3 linked regions of the Saccharomyces cerevisiae S288C genome follow. The gene in region 2 interacts genetically with the main gene of each other region. Each region holds a gene or a part of one and is shown on either strand. Other genes may lie near its edges. The genes, in order: ASG1, YPC1 and SRP102.

The links.
Region 1: mutations in YPC1 (region 2) and ASG1 together harm fitness more than expected from each alone (negative genetic interaction), as found in Saccharomyces cerevisiae (one large-scale study listed by BioGRID).
Region 3: mutations in YPC1 (region 2) and SRP102 together harm fitness less than expected from each alone (positive genetic interaction), as found in Saccharomyces cerevisiae (one large-scale study listed by BioGRID).

The regions. Positions count from the first base shown.
Region 1 is NC_001141.2:100,658-104,419, reverse strand, and holds the start of ASG1 (Asg1p), read right to left. Parts: upstream 1,639-3,762; coding exon 1-1,638. Other genes in the region: forkhead family transcription factor FKH1, read left to right, coding at 2,185-3,639. UniProt on the Saccharomyces cerevisiae protein: Probable transcription factor involved in the stress response.
Region 2 is NC_001134.8:594,509-597,628, reverse strand, and holds YPC1 (phytoceramidase), read right to left. Parts: upstream 1,515-3,120; coding exon 564-1,514; downstream 1-563. Other genes in the region: YBR184W (uncharacterized protein), read right to left, coding at 1-266; YBR182C-A (uncharacterized protein), read left to right, coding at 2,074-2,268; SMP1 (Smp1p), read left to right, coding at 2,765-3,120. UniProt on the Saccharomyces cerevisiae protein: Alkaline ceramidase that hydrolyzes phytoceramide and also dihydroceramide into phytosphingosine or dihydrosphingosine. Prefers phytoceramide.
Region 3 is NC_001143.9:159,568-162,964, reverse strand, and holds SRP102 (Signal recognition particle receptor subunit beta), read right to left. Parts: upstream 1,365-3,397; coding exon 630-1,364; downstream 1-629. Other genes in the region: tRNA methyltransferase RSM22, read left to right, coding at 1,623-3,397. UniProt on the Saccharomyces cerevisiae protein: Component of the signal recognition particle (SRP) complex receptor (SR). Ensures, in conjunction with the SRP complex, the correct targeting of the nascent secretory proteins to the endoplasmic reticulum membrane system.

The sequences.
Region 1 (3,762 bases), on a different chromosome or scaffold from region 2:
ATGAATAAAAGGCCTGTATAATATTATCTGAACGTGCAAAAAAGACAAATGTAATAAACGATTTGCCCTTTCATATTCAGGATCAATATTTTCTGCGTTAGGTATCAGTTCTTTGGGCAACGAATCCAACCAATTTCTCAACTTTAATTCCAAGCTAGTAACTGTCTCATGAGAAATTATATTACTAGTTTTTTTTATCGGATATAGTTCAGAAATGATCTCATTTAAAATCAAAAATAGTTTTGTATGTTCATTCGAAATCCCCGTACTTGATAAAACGGAGTGTTGGTTCTCAGGTAGGTACGCCACCTCAGTGATATTCTCATCTGATAAATCCAGGGGGAGAGTTTGGTCAAAATCGTCGGGGGAAATAGATCTCGGTAGGCCCAGCATTGCATTGATATAAACGTCCAGTTTATAGATTGTATAAAAAAGGCGTTTCCTCATCTCAATTTCTATTGGACTAAAACCAGAATTGGGGCTCAATTTCCTATGAAAGCCTGCTCTCAAAGCACTTCTCATGGCGACACCGATATAAGTGTAACACGTTGATAAACGTGCGGAACATTGTAAGAATATAATCAGCATTAAAATTGCTTGTATGGAATTCAAGTCACGGGCATTTGTAATGTCGATTAGTTTCCTTGCTGCAATGAAGTACTTGTAACCTTCATCCTGTAGAAACTTTTCCCTTGACGAGTCATTTGAGACAATGGATTTCGAGAATAATGCTCCCACAGCGATTGCAGCGTAGCACAATGGTAAAAATTGCATTTGCTTAGACGTATAATTGTTTGGGTCTGTCTCATACAACTCATCCAATTGTCTAATGAACGATGGTCTGTGATAAAATCGGAGAAGAACACAGCAATGTTCCCAAGTACTTTTCACGAATTGTAAAGCGATCGCTTTTGGTGGTAGAATTATTTTTATTTCTCTACCAACGGGGATATTGGAGTAGGTATCTACACTGTCTTGTTCCCTGTTGCTGGAGGCGCTATTCGAGTCACTTTTCATGTTAGGTAAAAATTCGTCTGGAGTGGAGTTTTTTGAATTTGAAGAAAGTACTGGTTGGATCGGAGAAGAACTGTCATTTACGATTAAAGTATATTCTTTCACAGTGTCATCTAAAAACGACTGCGAGTCCCTCTTAAAATTGTGAAAGATCTGCAAGAACACAGGAATATCCAGATTGTCTATATCAGGTAACTGCGGGAAGACCTCATCAAATATTTGCTTGTACCTGTCAATCTTCGATTGTAACCTTGTGCTCTTAGTCTTATACTTTCTTGGTTTAGATGGATTGTTACTTGCAGGTATTGTAGAAGCACCCGGTAAAATAGCCCTTTCTGTTTTAATGTTTGAGAGGAGTTTATTTGGATTGGAAGCGGCGGCTGCCACCACAGTACTTGATGATGGACCAGTAGTAACATTGCCCAGTGTTAGAACTCCGGAGTTTCCGGAGTTCTGTGTTCTCTTCGTAGGCTTCTTATAAGTACATTCATAAGAGTACACAGTACAATGGATACATGGTTGCTGACCATCACATTTAACTTTTTTCTTTCTGCATTCATCACAGGCTCTAGTGACCCTTCTTCTCTTGACAGACTGTTCCCCTTGTTGCGCTTGTTCTGGCATAACGCCCTTATCAATTATAATATGCGCTCCTTTTTCTTTGTCTCTTACCTTATGGAACTCAAATAAAAAGAGGCTTTTTTTCTATATGTTAACCTCTTCGAGATTTTCTAACCGCTTTATAAAAAATTCGATTACTGGTTGTCTTCAATGCAAGGAACTACTCAACAATAGAAGGTCATGTCCAGGTAGACAAACCTCATTACTGTAGTCACTTTTGAAAAAAAAATTACCAAAAAAAAAAAAAAGAAAAAAAGAAATCACTAGGGCTTGAAGAGCGTAGGTCTTATAAAATGTTTTTTAAGGGCTTGAACGGAAATATAGCATATATGATAGGTCTAAAAAAGTTACGAAATAGGTTATGATCCATGGATGAGGTAAACAAAAAAATGGAAAAACATAAACAAATCAGAAACGGTATAGAGAGAACAGGATGGTAAGAGGTTTAGATGAATACCGGCTCTATAGAAGATTGAAGGTTTAAATAATAGTGTGTAAATTGTGCGTTCAATTAGCAAAGAAAGGCTTGGAGAGACACAGTAATAATAAATGTCTGTTACCAGTAGGGAACAAAAATTTAGTGGTAAGTATAGTTCGTATACAGCCCAGGATCGCCAAGGGCTTGTTAATGCGGTGACATGTGTTCTTAGCTCGTCAAGCGATCCTGTGGCTGTGTCAAGTGACTATTCCAATAGCTTGAGTATTGCCAGAGAGGTCAACGCTTATGCTAAAATTGCCGGATGTGATTGGACGTATTATGTACAAAAATTAGAAGTTACCATTGGTAGGAACACAGACAGCTTGAACTTGAATGCTGTGCCCGGTACAGTCGTGAAGAAGAATATAGACATTGATCTTGGTCCTGCCAAAATTGTGTCTAGGAAGCATGCTGCAATCAGATTCAACCTGGAGAGCGGATCATGGGAATTACAGATATTCGGTAGAAATGGTGCTAAGGTCAATTTTAGAAGGATTCCCACAGGTCCAGACTCTCCTCCTACGGTGCTACAGTCTGGTTGTATCATAGACATAGGTGGTGTGCAAATGATCTTTATATTGCCGGAACAAGAAACTATTATATCGGATTATTGCCTGAATCACCTCATGCCCAAATTACTATCTACTTATGGTACGAATGGTAACAACAACCCGTTGCTACGTAACATTATCGAAGGTTCTACCTATTTAAGAGAGCAAAGGTTACAGGAAGAGGCTCGATTACAACAGCTGGACCACCTACACACCCCATTATCGTCATCATCAGATGTTAACCCAATAGGGGATCCACATGGAGACACGATTATGATGGAAGAAGATGAAGAAGATGAAAATTACACCAGAGGAGGAATTAGACCGAATACATACACGTCCAGTAGCAACAATGCTGTCACTAACGGTAATGTACCCCATATAGAAAATCCATCAGACTTGTCGCTGGATGAAAACAGATATATCAAACCACCACAGTCGTATGCATCGATGATCACCCAAGCCATTCTTTCAACACCCGAAGGTAGTATTTCATTAGCGGATATTTACAAATTTATCTCTGACAACTACGCATTTTACAGGTTTTCTCAAATGGCGTGGCAGAACTCCGTGAGGCATAATCTGTCCCTAAATAAAGCCTTCGAGAAGGTGCCCAAAAGAGCTGGTCAACAAGGTAAAGGGATGAATTGGAAAATTAGCGATGAAGTCAGGCGTGATTTTTTGAACAAGTGGAATGCTGGTAAATTGAGTAAGATTAGACGAGGCGCCTCTGTGACAAGACAGCTGCAATTGCACATGTCCAAATTTGGAGAAATACCTGCTCCTGAATCTTCATCAATTGACCCGAGGGGGATAAAAGCACAGAAGGTGAAAAAGTCTTTACAAGCTACGAGCTCGATTTTAGGTGAAAGCGCCCCGCAATTACAAAGAACTCAACTCACTGGCCAAATTTCTACTACGACATCCATGGACGTAACAACAAACGCAAACGTGAACAATTCCTCTCTGAGTTGAAATTCAGCGTCGTCGAACCCATATGTATTATTAAACAATAAAGAACAAAGACCCGTTAAGAAATATCTTACACCTTTTAGATTAACGATTAAATAAACAAGAATTCTCGATTTATATCTTTTT
Region 2 (3,120 bases):
TTGTTTTCACTTGCGCTCGTTTTGGCATGTTGAATGGCATCCGCCAGCATTCTTGCTTTTGGGTAATAAGGACAAATATCCATTATATCCAAATCTTCCTTTTCCTCATAGCCTGTAAAATTATTAGGTTCGGATACTGTGTGCTCTATGTTGTTATTAAATGTTATTATTGGTCTTTTGTGGTTTCTTAATATTGTTCCACTATCGTATTGAAAGTTTGATTTTTCAGAAGCCAAAATAGCATTCAATACATTATTTTGGTACATGTCCCGAATTAGCTAACAAATTTCTTAGTATTTGTGTTACAACAATTAGAGATTTTGTTTTGTTTATTTACTTTCATCAATTCACGTTATTTTGCCGCCGACGGCTTTGAGACCGCACAAAGTTTTTTTTCACCAGAGCAATAAGCTGGGTCATTTAAACTATTCGCAAATCAAGGATTCAAAAGATCTTTTCTTAGATATATTTTCTTCGTGATTCGTCATTAAATAGAACATGAAATAAAAAAAATAAAAAATAAATATGCCTATACATTATGAATATATATTATGCTATAATTATTACTTCTCCTTTTTAACTTCAATTGATTGATCTTCTACGTATGGGCCAAATAGTTCAAGTGAATATCTTGTTGAGGGTTTGCGCCCTTTCCATATCAGTTCAGGGAAGACTTTCCATCTCCAGATGAACTGGTAATTGCAGCTGACGTTGAGCGTAATGACCCTTAAATGTTCCAAAGAAACAATGTAGAAATAAATCCCCATACCAGTTAATATATGCCACCATCCGTGTGGTTCAAGCAGTACACCAAGTGGTAAAGCCAAAATACTTCTTCTAACGTGCACCCAGAACGAACAATAGTGTATATCAAGTAGCCACGAAATGTAGCCAGATAAGAACAAAATTGCGCCGAGCGCCATTGAAGCCTTGAGATTTCTTTTGGCAAGTGGATCATGGACGTATCTGTACGTCAAACTTCCTGCAGTAGCAGCCACAACTACAATCTGTACGCCAAACAAAATTTGATGGATATCGACATTTTTGTAAATAACGTAGAGTATGCTTGCTGTTGTAACGGCCAGGCCGATAATTACGCCGATGAATATCTGTTCAAATAGAGGAACCTTCTTGTGATTATCTCCGTTAAGTAATGCCTCTTTGGCCTCGCATACTAAACTCCATGTCGGAATGCACATGGCGTATATCATTGGAAGTTCATCCAATAGTTGGAATCTATACTTCAGTGTCATATGAAATAGCCATGATCCTACTCCGACCAAACCGTACCCGAAGCCAATAAGTAAAAACCTTTTTTCTAATTTATTCTTGTAAGCAGAGTAAGTTGTGTAAATCGCTGACAGTATGAATACGCTGTTAGTTAAAGTGTTTGACCACTCGGCAATATAGGGAGAAACGACATAGTTCTCCTCACACCAGTCAATAGTGGAAGTTGTTTCTCCCCAAACGCCGGGGACAGAACTCTCTGGATAGTTCCAACGAAATATTCCCATCAATCTTCTATTTTCTTAAATAAAGATTTCTGCTTTTATTTACAAATTAATCTCTGTAAGTATCGGACCTTATAAAAACCCCTTACACAATAACTATATAGATGTATATAGGATATATAGATATATATATGCAAATATCTTTTTCCTATAAGCGATAAAAATAAAATGCTACCCGAATTCTATTTAGACATATATAACCGGAGACAGATATTTTTTATGTCATGGGGTAGAGTAGTGCGTTTGAAAGTATCAAACAAAAAGTTTCAGGGGCCGGATCTAATCGGCATAAATATTTTCCGATGTCTCGCGTTAAAAAACTTGCGTGATAATCCGTCCGCACTAGTGGGATCGAAAGAAGGGGCGTGGTCAGAAGGGTAACGTTATGTGAAACCCTTGCCTTTGAATCTTTCCTGCTATGCTACGTCGGCCGACACTTCCATTTGAAAAAAATATAAACGATGGTGTTGCCAAGTATTTTTTTTCGCCTTCGTTTAACGTCAGCATTACTAAAAAGGTTAATGGTTGGCGATACTAACTAAAAAGAATTTGTAGAAATGCCATGAAGATTTTCACGCTGTATACCATGATTCAGCAATACTTTTTTGATAATGGCGGTGTTTATAGTATAAAGAATTTTTATTCTGCAGTTCCGAAGGAGAAAATGAACATAATTCTTGTTTCACTTGATTGTGAGCTCCAAAAGCTTGCTCTTAAGCTGTCAAAGAAAACTAGTGGCACTCACACTACGCACTAGCTTTTACACCACATCGTTATTGTTTTCCATTAACGCTTACGTAAATTTCATCTATCATTCTACCTGTACCGTTCCCGATGATAGTGGCTTACAAAACGGCTTGAGGTACAGTTGGTTCGAACTTTTTGCATTATTGTTGCCTTCTTTTTTTAGTAACAAGCGGCGTCTTTGTTTCTTCTGCAAAAATAATCTCGCTCGAGTAATTGGAGGCTTGGCAAAACTTAAATCTCCACGCATACCCGGCTTCCTATGTTCGTGAAGGACTCAAAAACATGAACTATCCTTATCCATCTTTCTTTTGCCAAATTATTTTAGCCAATCTATATAACACTACATCATTCCTTTGAGTCTTTCTTTATCATTCATTCGAAGGGAGAAATATACGAGCCAAATTCAAAGACAGACTATTTTTTCGAGCAGGCCTATCTCATCAGAAAAAAATTTAATAAAGCTCTAGATAAGCAAACACAATTATTTTCAAAAAAATTTCTGCTAAATGGGTAGAAGAAAAATTGAAATTGAACCTATCAAAGATGATAGAAATCGTACAGTTACTTTCATAAAGCGAAAAGCAGGACTATTTAAAAAGGCTCATGAATTGTCAGTACTTTGCCAAGTAGACATTGCTGTCATTATTTTAGGATCCAATAATACATTCTACGAATACTCTTCTGTTGATATGAGTAACCTGCTTAATGTTCATCAAAACAACACTGATCTTCCTCATAATATCATAGAACCATCTGATTATGGTGACTATGTGAAAAAACCACGTGTTGTTCTGAATGAAAGGAAGCGCAGGCGAAGAAGAGCAACCGTGTTGCAACCAGCTTCCCATTCTGGGAGTTGTAC
Region 3 (3,397 bases), on a different chromosome or scaffold from region 2:
TATTTCAGCTTTCTCTAACTTCGATGACAGTTTCTCATACCTTATGTCATCATGTCCACATTTGACACCATATAAGATAATATACTGGTAGTATAACCACTAGTTGATGACGATAGTTGATTTTTATTCCAACACGCGGACATATTAAATGTACGGTGGCTAGCAGGCCTCCTATTCACCATATTTAATCTTCATTAGTTGTACCTTTGACCATTGACAATCAACACAATAATTATGAACAAAATTTCCTGGTACAATGATTATGGTAAAGAAGAAAAAAAACGCTGCTTGCTATAACCAAATCAGAAAATATAATACTATAATAAAAATACATCAAACTACTTATCTTCAATTATTTTCCCGCATAATTAGATCATATAACTGCTGGAACATCAAACAAATATTAGCTCGCGTGGCGTAATGGCAACGCGTCTGACTTCTAATCAGAAGATTATGGGTTCGACCCCCATCGTGAGTGTTTTTTACACCAGCAGTCAAAAAGAGTTACTTTTGATATTGCATGTGTCGATGATGCAACTATGTCTTTCTCTGCGTACGGAATCTAGAGCTATGTTAAATGCTTGTTTTTAAACTATCTATCGTTCATCTAGTTATAAATTATAATTATATTACAGTTTTTCATCTATCCATTCGCGCCATTGGGAAATTTTTCTTTTATTAATACTGCCCTCAAAAGCAACTACAGATGCTTCCAAATTTGCAAATTTGAACCCGTCGGTAGACTGTAAAACGTCTAGTGTATTCTCTGCATAATCTTCTTCGTTAATTTTTCTTTCAACCTCGTTCAACGATTTTTTCCTTCTTTCAATAACCTTTTGAATTTCGCTTTCTAAAGCATCCTTGATCTTTGATGGTGGTCTTGCAGTGAACAATTCGCTTTTATTGCATGCAATTAAGATATCAATACCATTTTCGCAACTAGATTCAGTAATTGATAATATGTCTACCAAGAACTCAGCTGTTGTTGTTAATTTCTTAGGATCAACTGTTGAGTCTACCATAAATATCAACCCTTTAACAAATTTGGCTCTTGTTTTCAAATAATCTGAGAGTTTATAACGCAACTTGACATGGCCTGGGAAGTCCACTAACGTGACGCCGGAACCATCGTAATCCGCTGCTGATAACGGTTCTTGAGAAACAACAGTTGGTCTTACTGAATCTGTGGTTAGCAGCGTAAGCAAGCTCGTTTTTCCAGAATTTTGAGGACCTGCAATGATAATAGATGGTTGATAACTTTTTTGCTTGATCCCTGTCTTGGAGGATGCCTTTTGCACTGCTATTAGCGCTATGGTTGTCCCTATCACCAATAAACAGGCAATAATAAGTGTATTACTAAGCATTCTGATCCCGTGTGCTATTATGCTAATAAACAGCAGTGGTAAAGTAATAATTAATTGATCAATACAGACACTTAAAGCCTAACTATTTCTTTTCTTCTCATCTTTTTCAAGTTTAATGATGGTTCATATTTGTTTTCCATATCTCTTATTTTTTTCCGCCACTAGATGAAAAAAGTGAATGGTGAAAAATTAAGAACAGTATTGCAGCAAAACCTCTGACACTTTAGGACATAAGGTGGCCCGTCTAGTTTAGGTAAAATGATGAAAAGATGCTTCAGTATCCTACCACAAAATGTCCGGTTCAGCTCAAAGTTCACAAGTTTAAACTTACCAAAGTTAGATTTGGCGGATTTTATAGACTCAAATAAAAGAGGAATCAATGTTCTTCCGTCGTACAGAGATGAAACCGCTAGCACCACTCAAGCAACTAATTCTAAAGAGCTCAGATTACTTTCCAAAACACTTCAGGGCCAGTCGTACCGGGACCAATTAGAGTTGAATCCTGATGTAAGCAAAGCAATCAACAATAATATTATGGCTGTACATATTCCCAATAATCTTAGAAGGGTTGCTACAAATTATTACAAAGAGATTCAGGAACCAAATTCATTACATCGTCCCTGTAGAACCAAAATGGAAGTGGATGCACATATAGCGTCCATTTTTTTACAAAATTATGGTTCTATTTTCCAAAGTCTGAAAGAATTACAAAAAAGGGTAGGTCCTGATAATTTTAAACCTCAAAGAATCCTTGATGTTGGATATGGCCCAGCGACTGGTATAGTTGCCTTGAATGATATTTTAGGCCCAAATTATAGACCTGATCTAAAAGATGCCGTTATTTTAGGGAATGCGGAGATGCAAGAAAGAGCCAAAATCATTTTGAGCAGACAACTTAACGAGGTGGTCGATACTGTAGAAGAAAATGTGTCTACAGAGAAAGAGCAGGAAACAGATAGACGGAACAAAAACTTTCAAGAGGATGAACATATTGGAGAAGTGATGACAAAAAAGATAAACATTATGACTAACTTGCGGTCTTCTATTCCCGCATCTAAGGAATATGACCTCATAATATTAACGCATCAACTTCTTCATGACGGGAATCAATTTCCAATTCAGGTGGATGAAAATATTGAGCACTACTTAAATATTCTAGCGCCTGGAGGCCACATTGTTATTATTGAACGAGGCAACCCAATGGGATTCGAGATTATAGCCAGGGCAAGGCAAATTACGCTTAGACCTGAAAACTTTCCAGATGAATTCGGAAAAATACCAAGACCTTGGTCTAGGGGAGTAACAGTCAGAGGCAAAAAAGATGCTGAATTAGGAAACATTTCCAGTAATTATTTTCTGAAGGTGATTGCACCTTGTCCACATCAAAGGAAATGTCCCTTACAGGTTGGAAATCCTAACTTTTATACTCATAAAGAGGGTAAAGACTTAAAGTTCTGCAATTTTCAAAAAAGCATCAAGCGTCCCAAATTCAGTATAGAGTTAAAGAAGGGTAAACTTCTCGCTACTTCATGGGATGGTTCTCAAGGAAATGCGTCGAGGCTAAAAGGAACGGGAAGAAGAAATGGTCGTGACTATGAAATTTTAAACTACTCCTATTTAATATTCGAGAGATCACATAAGGACGAAAATACGTTGAAAGAAATTAAGAAATTACGGAATGAAAATGTGAACGGCAAATATGACATTGGATCACTGGGTGATGACACGCAAAATTCCTGGCCTAGAATTATCAATGATCCTGTCAAACGTAAAGGTCATGTTATGATGGATTTATGTGCGCCATCAGGAGAACTTGAAAAATGGACGGTTTCGCGGTCGTTTTCTAAACAAATATACCACGATGCCAGAAAGAGTAAGAAAGGTGATTTATGGGCCTCAGCGGCCAAAACACAGATTAAAGGGCTGGGAGACTTGAATGTTAAGAAGTTCCACAAGCTAGAAAAGGAGAGAATCAAGCAGTTGAAAAAGGAAGAACGTCAAAAAGCTAGAAAGGCTATGGAATCTTATAATGA